2 linked regions of the Mus musculus genome follow. The protein of the gene in region 1 purifies or fractionates together with the protein of each later gene. This does not show direct contact. Links are inferred from orthologs where the notes say so. Each region holds a gene or a part of one and is shown on either strand. Other genes may lie near its edges. The genes, in order: Hnrnpdl and Hnrnph1.

What was found.
Region 2: the proteins of Hnrnpdl (region 1) and Hnrnph1 fractionate together in Homo sapiens (co-fractionation; 3 studies listed by BioGRID and IntAct, with this or other methods). This does not show direct contact. The link is inferred for Mus musculus from reciprocal best matches to the Homo sapiens genes HNRNPDL and HNRNPH1.

Annotation. Positions count from the first base shown.
Region 1 is NC_000071.6:100,033,737-100,041,864, reverse strand, and holds the start of Hnrnpdl (heterogeneous nuclear ribonucleoprotein D-like), read left to right. Parts: upstream 1-2,642; 5' UTR 2,643-2,702; coding exon 2,703-3,145; intron 3,146-3,883; coding exon 3,884-4,052; intron 4,053-4,135; coding exon 4,136-4,297; intron 4,298-4,648; coding exon 4,649-4,780; intron 4,781-4,888; coding exon 4,889-5,003; intron 5,004-5,213; coding exon 5,214-5,384; intron 5,385-5,669; coding exon 5,670-5,740; 3' UTR 5,741-5,761; exon of another isoform or gene 5,762-6,880; 3' UTR 6,881-8,128. Other genes in the region: Enoph1 (enolase-phosphatase E1), read right to left, coding at 1,592-1,646. UniProt on the Homo sapiens protein: Acts as a transcriptional regulator. Promotes transcription repression. Promotes transcription activation in differentiated myotubes. Binds to double- and single-stranded DNA sequences. Binds to the transcription suppressor CATR sequence of the COX5B promoter.
Region 2 is NC_000077.6:50,374,769-50,382,853, forward strand, and holds the start of Hnrnph1 (heterogeneous nuclear ribonucleoprotein H), read left to right. Parts: upstream 1-2,909; 5' UTR 2,910-3,034; exon of another isoform or gene 3,035-3,090; intron 3,091-3,467; exon of another isoform or gene 3,468-3,522; 5' UTR 3,523-3,562; coding exon 3,563-3,659; intron 3,660-4,699; coding exon 4,700-4,855; intron 4,856-5,052; coding exon 5,053-5,196; intron 5,197-6,690; coding exon 6,691-6,829; intron 6,830-7,768; coding exon 7,769-7,947; intron 7,948-8,031; coding exon 8,032-8,085. UniProt on the Homo sapiens protein: This protein is a component of the heterogeneous nuclear ribonucleoprotein (hnRNP) complexes which provide the substrate for the processing events that pre-mRNAs undergo before becoming functional, translatable mRNAs in the cytoplasm.

The sequences.
Region 1 (8,128 bases):
TGAATGTGTATATAATCTGGTATCAATCTAAGTCACTAGAGCATTTTTATTACAAGGTCCCATGGTGGCGCATGCCTTTAATCCCAGCACTCAGGAGGCAGAAGCAGGCGGATTTCTGAGTCTGGTCTACAGAGTGAGTTCCAGGACAGCCAAGGCTACACAGAGAAACCCTGTCTCGAAAAACAAAACAAAACAACAAAAAAAAGAAGTGGCTCACAGGCATCTGAGGGAAGAGACATTACAGTTTCCATGCTGACTTATATGAGCTTATCTTATTTAACAAATCAACTTTCCAAAAATGGTACATATTTAAGGCCATATCCTGACCGCGGCTGTCATTTAGGTCCCGTGCCCTGCGGACAGCAGACAGAGAGAGAATAGAGCTGGTGACCTACAATCACCTCCCCCCATCACCACACACAAAGCAGTTAATTATGTAACAAGAACAACAAAGTGGACACAATTATCAGCATTTAGGCAGTCTTGAATTTTTCCACTGGTCTCTACTGTAATTAAAATCTTGGCAAAATGGCCAACTAGACTTTTCCAGAACCTTTGCTATGTATCTAAAACACCATAATTCTTATTTAGGAAGAAAGAGAGAAAGAAAGAAAGAAAGAAAGAAAGAAAGAAAGAAAGAAAGAAAGATAGATTGATTTGCCGGATTTGTGGCACATGGGAGTTCGAGGCCAGCCTGAATTATAGAGGTTATTTAAGAGCCTGTCTTAAATAAAATAGCTGTTATATTTGGAGACCTAAAGTTGTGTACAAACATTATGACCTACATCTAGAAAAATCAGACAATTGTAACAAGTAAACAATCAAAATAGACCTTAAAGCAGGCTGCAGTTTACTGGACGATGGGTTTTCCAACTCCCCCCCCTCCATACTACCCTCAACTATTCTATCATAAATATCAGTGCATAAATTGACTACATGGAAGAAAGTCAAGTCCTAAGCCTGTGAAACTGTGTTAACCCGACAGATACTCAAAAGCTTCAAGATACCATGGCTTTCTAAGAAAAATGAATGGAATTTTAGGTGTGTTCTTATAGTCTCAAAACCAGCGCAAGTGAGATGGTGCGAAAATCAATTGCTATTGCCCAAGATACCAGAGCCACTAGAAATCCTTTCACTTTAGTCTTTGCATTGGGAAGGCCTAAACCTCAAGGACCACTAAGTCAAGGCCACCACCTCTGCGGGCCGCAACCTTCAGCACATGGGGGACGCTCATCCACCGGGCGACACACCTACCTGCCAGGCCGTGGGAGCTCCAATCACCCCAACTCCTCCCAGCTGACCTGCCCCTCCCCAAGCCGTTGCTGAGACCATCTCCACTTCTTCCTATCCTTCTCCACCTAACCGAAAGCAAGGACAGGGGAGAAGATGGTGGCGCGAGGAAAAGCACCCCCGCAAACCGCCGCAGCTTCTCTTCCCCATTCCAGAGACATAAAGCCACACCGCCTCTCCTGAGCCTCCCAGGCAAAATCTCCAACACTTAAAATTTCCCTTTCAGATGCTTTTAGGCACAAGTAACTTCCCCGCTCCCTTCCGCCCCTCACCTTCACGAAAGCAATCGGGGTTGTGGTACCTTCGATATCTAACAGGATTACGGTGACTTCGGCGGGCACGGAAACCACGACCATTTCCCTGCCGGATGCTACCACGGGCTCGGCCTTGGTTAAGGAGGGCAACACCGCCTGCGCGTCTTGAGCTCCCGAGGGCCCAGCAACAACCGAGGCGCTGGCGACAGCGAACGACCAGGGGCTCAGAGACAGAGCTGGGACCCGCAGTTGCAGAGGAAGCCGCCTAGGGTACTACACCCGACGAGCAGGCGAGCCGCGCAGGCCCGGACCACGTGGGCAGCCGGAGGGGCGGGGCTCCGGGATTCAAAGGGGGGGGGTGGAGGAAACAAGGAGCGCGTGCCTATTGGCCGCCGGCGAGCCGCGAACCCGTCGGTCAAAATAGGCCTCGCGTGGGCGGGAACAAAGAAGCGAGCACCCAAGCCTGGAGCCTGGAGCCCGAGCGCGGGCACCAGCCCTCCGCAGCCTGCTGGAGCCTGCGCGGGAGGCCCGGGGCTCGTGCAGACGGGAGTCCCTTGAGTGGCGCGCCCGGGACGTGAGTGCCCCTTGTCTTCCCCGGCACCTGACCCCTTCCCCGCCCACCGCGTGCACCTTGGCACAGCTTCAGTCATCCGAGCAGGCCCCGCCCTCCGCCGCGGCCTCAGCCAGCCTCGGAGAACGAACGCACGGAACCCGGGCTGCAGAGAGAGATCCTGCAGCCACGGCCCCTGAGCCGACACCGCCCCGAGGCGACGGCGGAAAAGCCGTCCCCGCCAGGACGGAGGCGGTCATCGCGCACAGGCTTTCTGCTCGGCTGGTTGCAGCCGGCGCGAGGACAAAACACGCGTGCGCCGGGAGGGCGGGCGAGCGAGCGGGCGGACGGGCGCGCTGCAGCTTCAGCAAGCGGCGCGGGGTGCACGCCGCCCTTTTGCCGGAGTGGCCGCCGCTGCAGCAGCAGCAGCAGCTCTGCACTAGGGGACTGAGGGCGCAGCAAGGGACTGAGCCGAACTGGACGCGCGACGCCAACGGCTCTCAAGGCAAGAGGGACTGTGGCCCTGCCACGGCGCCGCTCGCGATTCCCGGTCCCGCACGGCTGACTCTCCCCGCGGCGCGACCTCGCTCCTCATCCGGAGCGCGGCGATGGAGGTCCCGCCCCGGCTCTCCCATGTGCCGCCGCCATTGTTCCCCTCCGCTCCCGCTACTTTAGCCTCCCGCGGCCTCTCCCATTGGCGGCCACGGGCTCCCCGGCAGCTCGCCCCGCTCCTCCCTTCGCTCGCTTCCAGCGCCTCCCGCCAGGGGGCGCGCCGGAGCCCGCGCCACGTCACCGCCCAGCAGCCCTCCCGATTGGCGGGCGGGGCGGCTATAAAGGGAGGGCGCAGGCGGCGGCCGGATCTCTTCCGCCGCCATTTTAAATCTAGCTCCATACAACGCTCCGCCGCCGCTGCCGCCGGGACCCGGACTGCGCGCCAGCACCCCCTCGCCGACGGCTCCGCCACCATGGAGGACATGAATGAGTACAGCAACATAGAGGAGTTCGCAGAGGGATCCAAGATCAACGCGAGCAAGAACCAGCAGGATGACGGGTACCGCACGCTCCGCTCCTCCCCTCCCCCAGAGCCCCGCGCGCGCCCTTCGTCCCTCCGGAGCCGCGCGCGCTGCCCCCAGTCTTTCCCCGAGTCGATTCTCCGCGTGCCCGCTGGACCCCAGTAGCCTTCCCCACTAGTGGAAAGTAAGATGGGGTGACTCGAGAGGCCCGCCGCGGGTGGGGGAAGGGAGGAGGGGTTGGGGAAGGAGAGAGGCGCCGTCGGTGTCCCGAGTGCGCAGGCGCCGCGTGGGGCCCGGGAGGGGGGAGGGGCCGGGTTCTGTGCGCCACTTGCTGCAGCTGCTGCTGCCGCTGCCGCCTCTTCATTGTGTGTGTTGGCCGCTCGCGAATTTTCCTGGGTTAGGTTTGGGAAACTTTTGGTTGGGGCACCAGTAGACGACTGGCACTAAAAGTTTCCTAGGTAGCAAAGTTGGCTTTAAGGCTGTGGGCAAGAGTCTACGTAAGTTGCGGGGGAATCGGTGTAAAAGTTGTGCTCTGCAATCCAAAGCAAGCAGGGCAGGACATCTACCAGATTCTAATGGCTTTTTTTTTTTTTCTAAGTTTTGAGTTCGCGTGGTACAAAGCAACGTGCCAGCTGGCTTGAACAAGTGGTTAAGATTTTTGTGGTCTAATGTTAGTGTTTGTAGTCAAAACAGATTGCGTCTGGAGAGTAAGTTGCCCTGTATTTAATCACTAAGTTACTGTTAAGCTTATTTTTCTTAAATAACTTTATTTCTAGTAAAATGTTTATTGGAGGCTTGAGCTGGGATACAAGCAAGAAAGATCTGACTGAATATTTGTCTCGATTTGGGGAAGTGGTAGACTGCACAATTAAAACAGACCCAGTCACGGGAAGATCAAGAGGATTTGGATTTGTGCTTTTCAAAGATGCTGCTAGTGTGGATAAGGTAGGGCTGTGTTTTGCATTGAGTCTACTGCGTTGCTTGCAAGTTGCTCTAGGCTTTTAAGTCCAAACTGCCTTGTCTTCCAGGTTTTGGAACTGAAAGAACACAAACTGGATGGCAAATTGATAGACCCCAAAAGGGCCAAAGCTTTAAAGGGGAAAGAACCCCCTAAAAAGGTCTTTGTGGGTGGATTGAGCCCAGATACTTCAGAAGAACAAATTAAAGAATATTTTGGAGCCTTTGGAGAGGTGGGCTGTGTTTGTGTATGTATGTGTGTCTGTGCTCGTGTTTGGTCAAGTCTGGGGGGGTTCATTAATATTTCACCGGATGGGACTGAATTCTCTTGCTTCGTCTTCACTGCTGCTTTCTATGTTGTAGTGGAAACCAGTATCTAATCTTACTTAGCCAAAGCCCCAAAGGTGTAAAGTGTTTCACCAATTGGTGGCCTCTGGGGTGTAAGGTACTATAAAAAGATAAAACACAACTTTTTAGAACATGGTGGTCAGTAGATGTGTCTGGTGTTTGTGAAGAGCCTGTGGCATTATATAATCTTTATTAACTGGTGGGTTTGTTTGTTTTGTCTGTGCACCTGATTTCAGATAGAAAATATTGAGCTTCCCATGGATACAAAAACAAATGAAAGAAGAGGATTCTGTTTTATCACATACACAGACGAAGAGCCAGTAAAGAAACTGTTAGAAAGCAGATACCATCAAATAGGTTCTGGGAAGGTAAATCCCTTAACAACTTAGAGGATTGTGTGTGTGAAGTCAGTGTGAAGAGAAACTTGTTCTATGTTCAGAACTTGGAACATCTGCAAATTTTCTGTTTATTTACAGTGCGAAATCAAAGTTGCGCAACCCAAAGAGGTGTACAGGCAGCAGCAGCAACAACAGAAAGGAGGCAGAGGGGCTGCAGCCGGCGGAAGAGGAGGTGCTAGGGGGCGTGGAAGAGGTGAGACCTCCTTGGGCGAGTGAGCGGTACACTGAAGCAGTGAGCTGCTAGGGACCTGACCTGTAGGGAAACACAGCTAGAGTGAAACTAAAGAGCTGACTTGGGGGGGGGGGGTTGAAGCCACAGTGTAGGGGACAGGAATGGATCAGCTTGTGGTAGGATTGGGACAGTCCCAAGTTGTTTCCTAACCTTCGTTGTGCATTGTTTCAGGTCAGGGCCAAAACTGGAACCAAGGATTTAATAACTATTATGATCAAGGATATGGAAATTATAATAGTGCCTATGGTGGTGATCAGAACTATAGTGGCTATGGCGGCTATGATTATACTGGGTATAACTATGGGAACTATGGATATGGACAGGGATATGCAGACTACAGCGGTAAGAACACTTAACTCAATTGTGAAGTACTTTCCCATTCTGAACTTGTGTGTATGGGCTTACTGTTGAGATGTTTGGAGTAGTCATGTTGTATAGTCATAGGAAAGTAAGACGGTGGTTATTTTAAAATATAATTAACAGCTATTGGCTATTACTGACTGTTAAGATGGCTTGATGTTTTGATGTTCAGCATGCATAGTTTCTTATAGGGTAGATTTTTTTTTCTGTTTAGAAAAACGGTTTTCTTAGGAAACTTTGTTAGTGAAACTCATATCCTTTCCACAGGTCAGCAGAGCACTTACGGCAAGGCGTCCCGAGGGGGCGGCAATCACCAGAACAATTACCAGCCCTACTAAAGGAGGACGCTGGGAGAGCAGGTGTGTGAGATGCAGGAAAGCATTGCACTGGCTAATTTAACTTAAAGATCAATAGACAAATGAAAAACACGAGTAAATGATATGTTGTGTAGTCCTTGCTAAAGTGTTACTGTTTAATTGCTTTATGAGCCTGTTTTGCCTAAAGTGTCTATAGATCTTTAACTTTAAAGTTTTACCTCACCTTTTTTAGAACTACAGAAAAACTTAAGAGTTTTTCTGTTTGCTTTGTGTACCAGGAGGTGTAGAGGAGTAATTAAACTTTTTTAGAAGTGTTAACAGGTAAAGTACTGAAATGGGTACAACTTAAGGAAAAGAAGAATGTTGTCTTCTAACTCTGACATTATACCTTGTTTGTACCCGCCAGCGGGAACTTCATTGCAGGCCGTGTGTCACCCTGACCACGTCTATCTCTGGGGGTCGCACGTTGCGGGCAGAGCGCAAGGCATACACCAGAAAACGCTGTCCTGTGGTATGGTCTCTTCCAACTTCATGTACCAGCGTAAAGATTAAAGTGGAAAACTTCAGACTTTGGCTTCTTTTTTAATCTTTTTGGAGATTAAGTGTCTAAACTTAACTTAAATGGTTTTTTACAGGAGTTAAAGTGCATAAATGCCTTTTTACAGCTTAATCATTTTGGTCTTCTGTTTAGTGTTGTATTTCAATTGTGGAGCCTCATTTTAAGTGTTCATTCTTTAAGATTTAATGCTTGCTTTTTCTTTTTATAGCTAATAGTGAAATCTACAAACCAAAACAAGAACTTTTAAATCTGGGATATAAGTTAAAGATCATATGCACAAAGTAATTGGCTACCGTGTTACCATTATAAACCTACCTGGAATTTGTGTTGGTAGCATCCAGTTGGCTTACTAGGGATGCTTCTGTTCTGGTTGGCCCTCACTTGCTAGATGCAGATCAGGGAAGATTGCATTCCCGTGTTCTAAATTCAGTCCATCCTGTGTCATTTGGAACTCGAGTGAGTTTCAGTGCCCAAACTGTACTTTGCTGATGAACATGCGTGTGATCTTTAATTGAAGTGAGGACTTAAGCAGTCCATGAAAGTGGACCTTTGCACACTTGTGGGGCTGCACACATCTAATGGGTGTTTCGTTTTTGTTTTAGGAGGTGTAAAGAAACCATCTTACAGGACGACATTGAAGATTGCTTGATCTTCTGTTGACCTAAGATGATTATTTTGTAAAAGACTTTGTAGTGTACATGACACAATTGTGTCCAACTGTATATAGCTGCCAATTAGTTCCTCTGTTTTACTTTGTCCTTTGCTACCTGTGTTATGATGACTCAATGTGGATTTGTGTTCATACAAATTTTTATTTGTGTGGTTTCATGTTAAACCTCAAATAAATGCTTCCTTATGTGATTGTTTTCCTGCGTCAGGTACTGCATAGTTCTGTGGAAATGTAATTTTATAAAGAAGCAATAATCAAGACAGACGCAGCTTATTTTGTAGGGGGTATTGGTCCACAGGAAGAAACTGGTTGTAGTATCCCCTGGTTTCTGTGGGTGTTACTGTGCTTACAGTCTAATGCTTAATTTCTCTGTTGATAACTTCTACACCTTTTGAATAATGTTTCCTCCCTGGGTATCTGGAGACTGACACTAGTCTGTTGTGATTGGTGACACTTCCTATCACATGGTGTGCTTTCAGATTATGGTTCTAAGGAAAGCACCTTGGTGTGCTAGGGCTGTACCTCACTGGCAAGTGTCCTTTGCCTGAGCACAAGTGATGCTCTTGTTTCTATCTCATCACCTTAGAAACGGACCTGTTGGCTACCACAAAGCTTTTTAATTGGCTACCTTTGCTCTGTGCTTATCTAACAAACCATGTGTAATTCACAGATGACTTTAAAGAGAGTCCATGGTTTGTCTGTTAGAGGTAAATGCAGGGGGGAAACTGGTGGCCAGGGTTTCATCCATTCTATCTGCAATTATCCACTAAGGTCAGTGCAGTGGGCTGAGGTTTTAGGAAAATTAGCAGTAGTGAATCCATCCCACCATAGTACACAAGCTAAATAGATTTAAGCAGTTTGCTATGCAGGCAGAGGAAGGGAGTTGTGGAAAGTCACATGGTGTATCTTTTGGTGCATTAAAAACTTAAAAGATTTAAGTAATAAAGGCTTTGAGCTTTTCCATAAATGTTTGGCTTAGAGGTCTCTCCACGGTTCCACAAAAGCTTCTGGGTTGGGGTACATGTTTAGAGTACTTGGTCTTAGACCAGTGTAAGCTTTTTATACTGATATCTTTTTTAAATGCCTACAACTTTGTTCCAATGATATTTGTACTTGCTAGGCTGTCAAGTTACCATGCCTTGGCCTCATTTTCTTCTGGCCAGGTACCATTGTTGGCTAT
Region 2 (8,085 bases), on another chromosome or scaffold:
GCTTTCCTGCTAACGGTCTCTTTATAGCATTATGTAAGCAGCACCCAAAAGCCGGCCGTGATGGCTCAAGCTTGTAATCCCAGCATCCCGGAAACTGAAGGAGGACGCCGCCTCTGGACACCCGCCTAGCCTGGGCTATAACTTGGGATACAGAGACTCTGGCTCAAACAAAGAAGAAAGCACACGAAGACCAAAAGAGCAGTTAAGAAAAAGCACAAAGAGAAAAGCAGATCTTGGTGAGTTCAGGGCCATCCTGGTCTACATAGCAAGTTCTAGGCCAGACAGGGATATATAGTGAGATTCTGTCTAAAAAGAAAAAAAAGAAAGAGAGAGAGAGAGAGGGAGAGAGAGAGGGAGAGAGAGAGAGAGAGAGAGAGAGAGAGAGAGAGAGAGAGAAAGAAAGAAAGAAAGAAGGAAAGAAAGAAAGAAAAAAAGGGAAGAGGCACTAATTAGTCCAGACTGGCCTCAAAACTCCTGGGACCTGAATGCTCTGCTGTGATTAAAAATGTGTGCAACCCATGCCTGGCCCAGAAGCTGAACTTTTTCTGTGAGGAAGCTTTGTGTTGGACAATTTACATCAAAGGGAATGGCTATGATGTAGCATTTGCTCCCGTGATCAGATACAGATAGTTACATAGTCCCAGTATTAAGTTAGTAAGGATTAAAAGAAAGGGAAAGCCCATGTAGTGAAAGTCAGGCGTTTGCAGCCCTTGTACACAAAAGGATCTTCAAATCCTTCCATTGTTAGAAATTACACAAATACTCAGAGCCTTCTGCCAAACAATTGTCCACCAGAAAATCCTCATTGCGTGTGGTGGCACACACACTTTAATCCTGTCATTCTGGAGGCGGATGATCAAACACTTGAGACCATGCATGACTGCAAGGGGAGTTTGAGGCCGGCCTGGGATGTGTGCAATCAGGACTCAAAACAATAAGGAAAGGACACAATAAGGAAAGATAAAAGTTTTTATCTATGATTATACACTGCATTTTTCTCTTACGATGGAAAAATAACCTCCCATACAACTAGAATAGAATTTAGAGAAACATCGTAGGAATGTGGTTGTGTTGTCAGAAGGGAAACATTTCCCCCCCTTCAGGTGAGAGACCTGGATTGCTAAGTTGCAGTGACTCTCCCATCTCAGCATCTCAAGTAGATGGGACTACAGGCACATTACTGTGCAAAGTGAAAAAAGATGATTCAAACAAAAAACGGTGTGTGTGTGTGAAAATATAGTTGAGTGGTAGGACTGGTTTGCTCAAAGCCTTTCTAGTATGCATTGCTCTTCCCATACATCTAACCAACGATCGCAGGTCATCTAATAAGTATAGGGCTCTCAAATGGTGTGAATTAGCTAAAGAAGAGTAATCTTAGTTTCTTGGTAATCAATCTCATGTCCCAAGACCATGTAGGGGGAAATATACATGTTAAGCAAGCTCTCTACCACTACTATTTCTCTTGTCTTCTTTTTGAGACAGGCTTTCAGTAAATTTCCCAGGCTGCCTTGAACGCACTCTGTTGCTCAGGCAAGTCTTGAAGTTGCAGTTCTCCTCGGCTGGGCTTGTGTTCTTGCCTTTCACCCACCTCCTGGCCTGGAGACTTGGGAGTTCTCACTTTTCGATGATCTAAACTAGTGTTTTCTGTCTCCTCTAGATAGATCCTTTGCAGGTGAGGTCATGTGCAGTTATTCTCCCAGCCTGTCTCATCCGAGTTTCCCTTACACCTGAAGGTTCACGTTACACAGCTCCTGTTGCTCTCTTGAAGTCTTGTGATGCCCTTCTACTTAACACCCTTGCGCAGACTTAAAAGGTCTGAGTTCTGCACGCAGTCTCTGCACCTTTCCTTTGATGACACCCCCCCCTTTTAAAAAACAAACTGTTCAAACTGGATTTAGCCTCCTCAATGTTGCACTTGAAAGAAAAGCGTATTTTTGCCTGTAACCTCTTGTGATGGCTTTCAGAGGCTTACCAATTGTGGTACCTACCGTGGCACCGCCCAAACAATAACTCTTATTGTTAATTTCTAGGGTAGGTCAGTCAGATTCGGAGAAACTCGGGACATCATCCGTATTCTGCTATGTTGCAGGAATTCTCTTAAACGTCACCCATTTACCTCTGTAAGGGCACACGGGATGACCCGGGCGTGTCTCCACCTTGGGAGAGGCCCGTTGGTCGGTCGGGCGCAGCGCTCTGGGGCTGCGTCCTTCGCGCCCCTGGCAGTCTCAGCCTTCCCTCGCGAGGCGCCGCACACCGAGCGCCTCTCGTGCAAGGGCGAGGGGTTCGTAGAGTGCGAGTCCGTTAGGCAAAGTGGGGTACAGGACTAGCTCGGGCACTGGCAGCCCATGTGGGTCGGGACTGACCCCCTAAAGCGGGCAGGTAAGGGGACTGGTCCCAGGCGCCCCACGGAGATCGGGGATTTGGGCGCAGGGGGCGGGGCGGTACCCAGAGGAGGTTTGGCACAACCCGGCCCTCCAGCTCCTACGCGTTCTGAGGAGAAAGGGCATGGCTTCCTTTTCTTCGTGGTGTCTTTCAAAACCGACAGGAGCGCGGATGAAAAGCTGCGGATTAAGGGTAGAACTACCGCCCCTGCAAACCTGAACGAACTCTGGATTACTACCCAGTCCCTGCGGGGAGCTGATTAGCGCCATTCCCCTCCCCCACTCCGGCGGGTAGGTCTAGAGAACGGTTTGAAGGTAGCCGCATGCGCATTAAGTAAAACAAGAAACCGCTGAGACGCCAAGCGCAATAATTGCAAAAAGGCGCAGGCGCAGAAAGAAAAAAAAAAAACAACCAAAAACACCTCGGTCAGTTTATGAAGAGGGCTGAGCCCAAACGCATGCGTGTAATAATAGGACGGCGGGAGAGAGCTCGGGGTTTCTTAATACGCATGCGTCCAATCTCTCTGTGACGCAAGTGGGGCGGGGCCGGCAACAGGGTGCGCGTGCGCAGAGCTTGCTGGAAGGGCTTTATTTAGCCTGCGCAGGCGCCCGCTTATCATTTCTCCTCAGCCACGCCGAGGCTTTTTGTGGAGGTGAGTGACTTTCCGTCTTCGACTGCTGCCCGAGCTCTCCACGGACACCTCTTTGGGTGACGATTGCTTGTCGCTGAGCTTAGGTTCTAACCTGAGGGGCCGTGGCAGGCGCAGGCTGCCCCTGGGAGCCGCGAGTGTCTCGCCGGCGTGGCAGCGCCGCCTAGGCCTGCAGGCCGCGCCGCTTTCTATTGTGTGAGATGTCTGAGGAGGCGGAGCGGAAGCGGCGGCCGCCATTTCCTCGTCTCAACCGTGGCTGTGGGCCAGGGTCTTATTAGCTTGGCGCCTCGGCCCTGGGCGCACTGGGCGGCTTTGGGCATCGGGTCGCTAGCCGAGGCCGGGTTGCATGCTTGAGTCTCCGGGGCCCAGGCATCCTGACGGGCGGGACTCGCATGGCGGCGCCCGGTGCCCGCTGTGCGCCGTGAAGTGGGAGGGCCATTTAAATGCCTGTTTTCTCAGACGCGTTCCTGACCCCCACCCCCACCCCGCAGCCCCGCAATCTGTGTGGACGCCAGGACCACCGAAGGGACGATGATGCTGGGAGCAGAAGGCGGAGAGGGCTTCGTGGTGAAGGTCCGGGGCTTGCCCTGGTCCTGCTCCGCGGATGAAGTGCAGCGCTTTTTTTCTGGTGAGTTGAGGCGGGAGTTGTCAGTGGGGCCCGCGGCTGGGCCGGGCCGGGCCGGGTTGGGGCGGGGCGGGTCTCCCGGGCGCCCCCTAGCGAGTCGCGGCCACCAGCGGTTTCCCCAGGCGGCTCGCGCTCTGTTGGCCGCTGTTACGCAATGGTAATTGCGAAATCCGCACCCCCCCCAACCCCCTTGGGGATGCTGGTGGCCCTGCTGAATTTGTTTTCTTTTAAAACTTTTTCTGTCTCTATGCATCAATCTGTGCATTCTGGAGTAGTCTAAGAAAAATTTAAGTAGGGAAAGATGTGATTTCTTCTCAAGTCGTGTAAGGTTTTGTAAAAAGGTACTTGTAGTGTTGACCTTACCATCTGAATTTAGCTGTGGTAACAGAAAACGATCTGTAAATCGAGCCCCAAGTATACTGCAAGCAATTGCAGGGGGCCGTTGCCGTCCGGGTTTGAGTTGAACTGCAGCTTGGAGCCTTTAGTTGTTAACATTGGTCCCTTTTCGGATGAATATTGAGCTGGAGTTTGGATTTGAATGAAATTGTTATGTGGTTGCTGATAGAGGGAAGCTGACATGGTACCCAAACAAGAAAATGCTGTGAAGTCACCAGATCCAGATGAGATTATTCTGAGATAGTGTACCAAGAGATGGTTAATGGAAACTTAGAGGCAAGGTGGTAGCTTCATTTGAACTTTTTTTTTTTTTTTTTTCGAGACAGGGTTTCTCTGTGTAGCTCTGGCTGTCCTGGAACTCTGTAGACCAGGCTGGCCTCGAAATCAGAAATCCGCCTGCCTCTGCCTCCCCAGTGCTGGGATTAAACGCGTGCGTCACCACTGCCCTGCTCCATTTGAACTATTTTTGAGCATTGAGTTACCTTGTTGGACTAGGAATATATCCTGTATATGAGATAATTTGATCGTGTTCTGCTTGGTCAGTCTTTTTAGGCATGTTTTTTTTTTTTTGGTGTGTGTGATGACAGGAATATGCATTTTATCTGTAGTGGTTTTAAATCCTGTATTAAGCGTTGTTTTCTTTTCAGACTGCAAAATTCAAAATGGGGCTCAAGGTATTCGTTTCATCTACACCAGAGAAGGCAGACCAAGTGGCGAGGCTTTTGTTGAACTTGAATCAGAAGATGAAGTCAAATTGGCCTTGAAAAAAGACAGAGAAACTATGGGACACAGATATGTTGAAGGTTTGATTTACATTGCCCTAGTAACAGTAAACGTTTAAACACATAGAGGTCTTACCCCTTCTGAATTTTAGGTATTTGACCGCATGGAAATGGTCATCTAAGGGAGTTTATGGCAGCTCTTCCTAGTTATCTAAAAGCCCAGGAAATCTGAACTTTGTTCTCCAACTTAATTGACTAATTCTAAGCACCTCTTTCAGTATTCAAGTCAAACAACGTTGAAATGGATTGGGTGTTGAAGCATACTGGTCCAAATAGTCCTGACACAGCCAATGATGGCTTTGTACGGCTTAGAGGACTCCCTTTTGGATGTAGCAAGGAAGAAATTGTTCAGTTCTTCTCAGGTATGTAGTCCTGTTTGTTGCTGAGCAGTGAGGTATGGCAGCTTCTGGCGACATGAATTAGTATTAGTAGACCTTTAAAAAGTTGAATAGTCTAGGTACTTAAAGTAGGCTGTTGAATATATGTTGTTGAATTCACATTTTCTTCCTGGAGACCTTCAAATAACTTAAGCCCATCTTAAAGGTGGAAATTAGAAGTATTTCCAAAGTGTTAACTTTGCCTATATTTAGTATTGTAGTTCAGAGTAGACCTTTGAGGATTCTACTCAGCCATCTTAACTTCCTCATATTGCTGTTTAGCAAAGTACTTCAAGTTAAAGGTAAGCTCTTTTAACATTAGATTAGTGTGAGTCTAGATTGTTACAGTTTATGGTGTTATAACTTATTTTCCGTCATGGGACCAGAAATATTTTAGCTAGTGTAATTCTCTGTATGAAAATTGTTATGAAAGGAACTTGGCTTAGGTAGCCTATTAGAAGTCAAAAAAGTAAATTGTAGCAAGTGTAGGTTGAATGCTTGTAGTCTCAATATGAAAGCAGTATAGAAGTTTTTGAAGTTGTTCTGGGCCTAAAGTATTTGAATGTTTTTATGTTGAAGAGCTGATAGGATTTGCATGCTTAGCAGAATGTTAAATCTTGTATATTTTAAGTACTATTAATACTCTTGATGACATAGACAGAATTAATCAAATATCTTAATAGTTTTTAGCATAGTATGTATTAGAACTTTGACTAGAACTTTATATATGTATCAATTTGTAATATTTTATAGTTTGAAATCAAGTCTGTTTTGTTTTATCTAAATTGGTGAGAATTGAATGCTATCTGTCAACGTTAAATATGAACATAATTTCATATCTTCTAGGAAAGTGCTTTAAGGCCTTTTTGTAAGCTTGGGAATGTATCCACGGGAAGGATTTTTCATAGACGGAATTTCCAGAAGTGAATCATACTACTGTTAGAACATAAGAGTGCATGATTGCTTTGTAGATAGTTATTGTTGAAAGTTTAGTTTGTATGTTTGTCAATTATGATTTTTAAAATGTTTTCAATTTTTACATAAACTGTTTAAATGTGTAATTTTAAAATTGAAGTTCCAATAACTTAAAAAGAATTGAAATATATGAGGTTAAAAGGTTTCTTATTTTACTTAAATTGTTATTTTAATGCTTAAAAAATTTAAAGTTCTTGTATAATTCTATTAAGATGCATAGATTAAAATGTTTTTAATTGTTGAATTCTTAATGCACCCTCTGGAGTATAACACTTTTTTTTCTTTACTGTATATACTATGCCTTGGGTGTGTTAAGAATTGAGTTATACTCTTTATAGTGGAACTTCTTATTATTGCAATGCATATTTTAAGAGTACTTGTTGAAAGCATACCATTCACCTAAAGTTAAAATTCTGGTTTATTTAAAGCTATAAGAAGAATCATTTCTGGGCTTGTGATGTTAATATTGCCCCCCTACTGGGGTTATTTGTCCTTGGGTTGAAGGGTTGGAAATCGTGCCAAATGGGATAACATTGCCGGTGGACTTCCAGGGGAGGAGTACGGGGGAGGCCTTCGTGCAGTTTGCTTCACAGGAAATAGCTGAAAAGGCTCTAAAGAAACACAAGGAAAGAATAGGGCACAGGTGGGGATGGATGGTTGGTTGGATATGTCACTTTTCTTATGGTAAACAATTAAATCCATATTCTCTCTGCTTAGAAAGAGGAAATTACCCATTTCCTATTCCCAGTTAATTGATAATCTGCTATAACTTCTAAATTTTCCCAGTTAATGTATTTCATTCAAATTAAACTTTAGGCTTTAAAATTATCCCTAGTTTATTGGGCTGTCTTTACAATTTTGTAGGACTTTTAGTTTATTAACCCTAATCAATAGAGTTGAGAGACTATGGCTTTAAAAAATTACTACAAACCTGTCTTTAGCTGTAATAACACCCATATAGGAAATTAATATTACCATAAGAAAATGTGATACTTTCTGATCTTGTTTTTAAAGTTGAAATGCAACAAACTTTTTCTTGCTGTATAAATATTCTGCATATGTATTAATAAGCATAGCTTTCAAGAAATTGTCACAAAGGGTTTTATTCTCTTTGCTTGTGACTATTTTTCATTGAAGCATGCGCTTTTTTACCTATGCTGATTCCTACTAAAAGCATAGGCTGGGTACTGGCGAAAAGAAGTGTGTAGTGTGGGCTAGACTGTTGGTGGAGGCTGGCTTTTTAGCCCACTTGCTACACATACTGCCAAAGGAATTGAAATAATGAAAGTTGAGTGGAATTATTCCCTCCTAAACCATTTACTTAATACTCCTCTCTGCCTCTAAGGCTGGGCTCTGCCTCAGAGGAGTTTATTTTCTTTTTTTCTATAAAGTTTAAATAGTCTTTTGAGTGAATTTTCTGGTCATTGCCTATACAAATAAATGTAAGAAATCTGGCTTTAAATATTAGTCAGTTTCATGGCTATGACTAAATTGTTTTTCTTGTATAACAAAGTAATTGTATGACATGAACTAATGTTTTCTCTCCCCTCCCCATTCCCCTTCCTTTTGGACAATGCTTTAGGTATATTGAAATATTTAAGAGCAGTCGAGCTGAAGTTAGAACTCATTATGACCCACCACGAAAACTTATGGCCATGCAGCGGCCAGGTCCCTATGACAGACCTGGGGCTGGCAGAGGGTATAACAGCATTGGCAGAGGAGCTGGTTTTGAGAGGATGAGGCGTGGTGCTTATGGTGGAGGTGTGTATATGCTGAACCAGCTTCCTTTGTGTGTGTGTGTTGCTTCCCCCCACCTCCCGACTAATTGTACTTTTTTTCTTTCAGGCTATGGAGGCTATGATGATTATAATGGCTATAATGATGGCTATGGATTTGGTT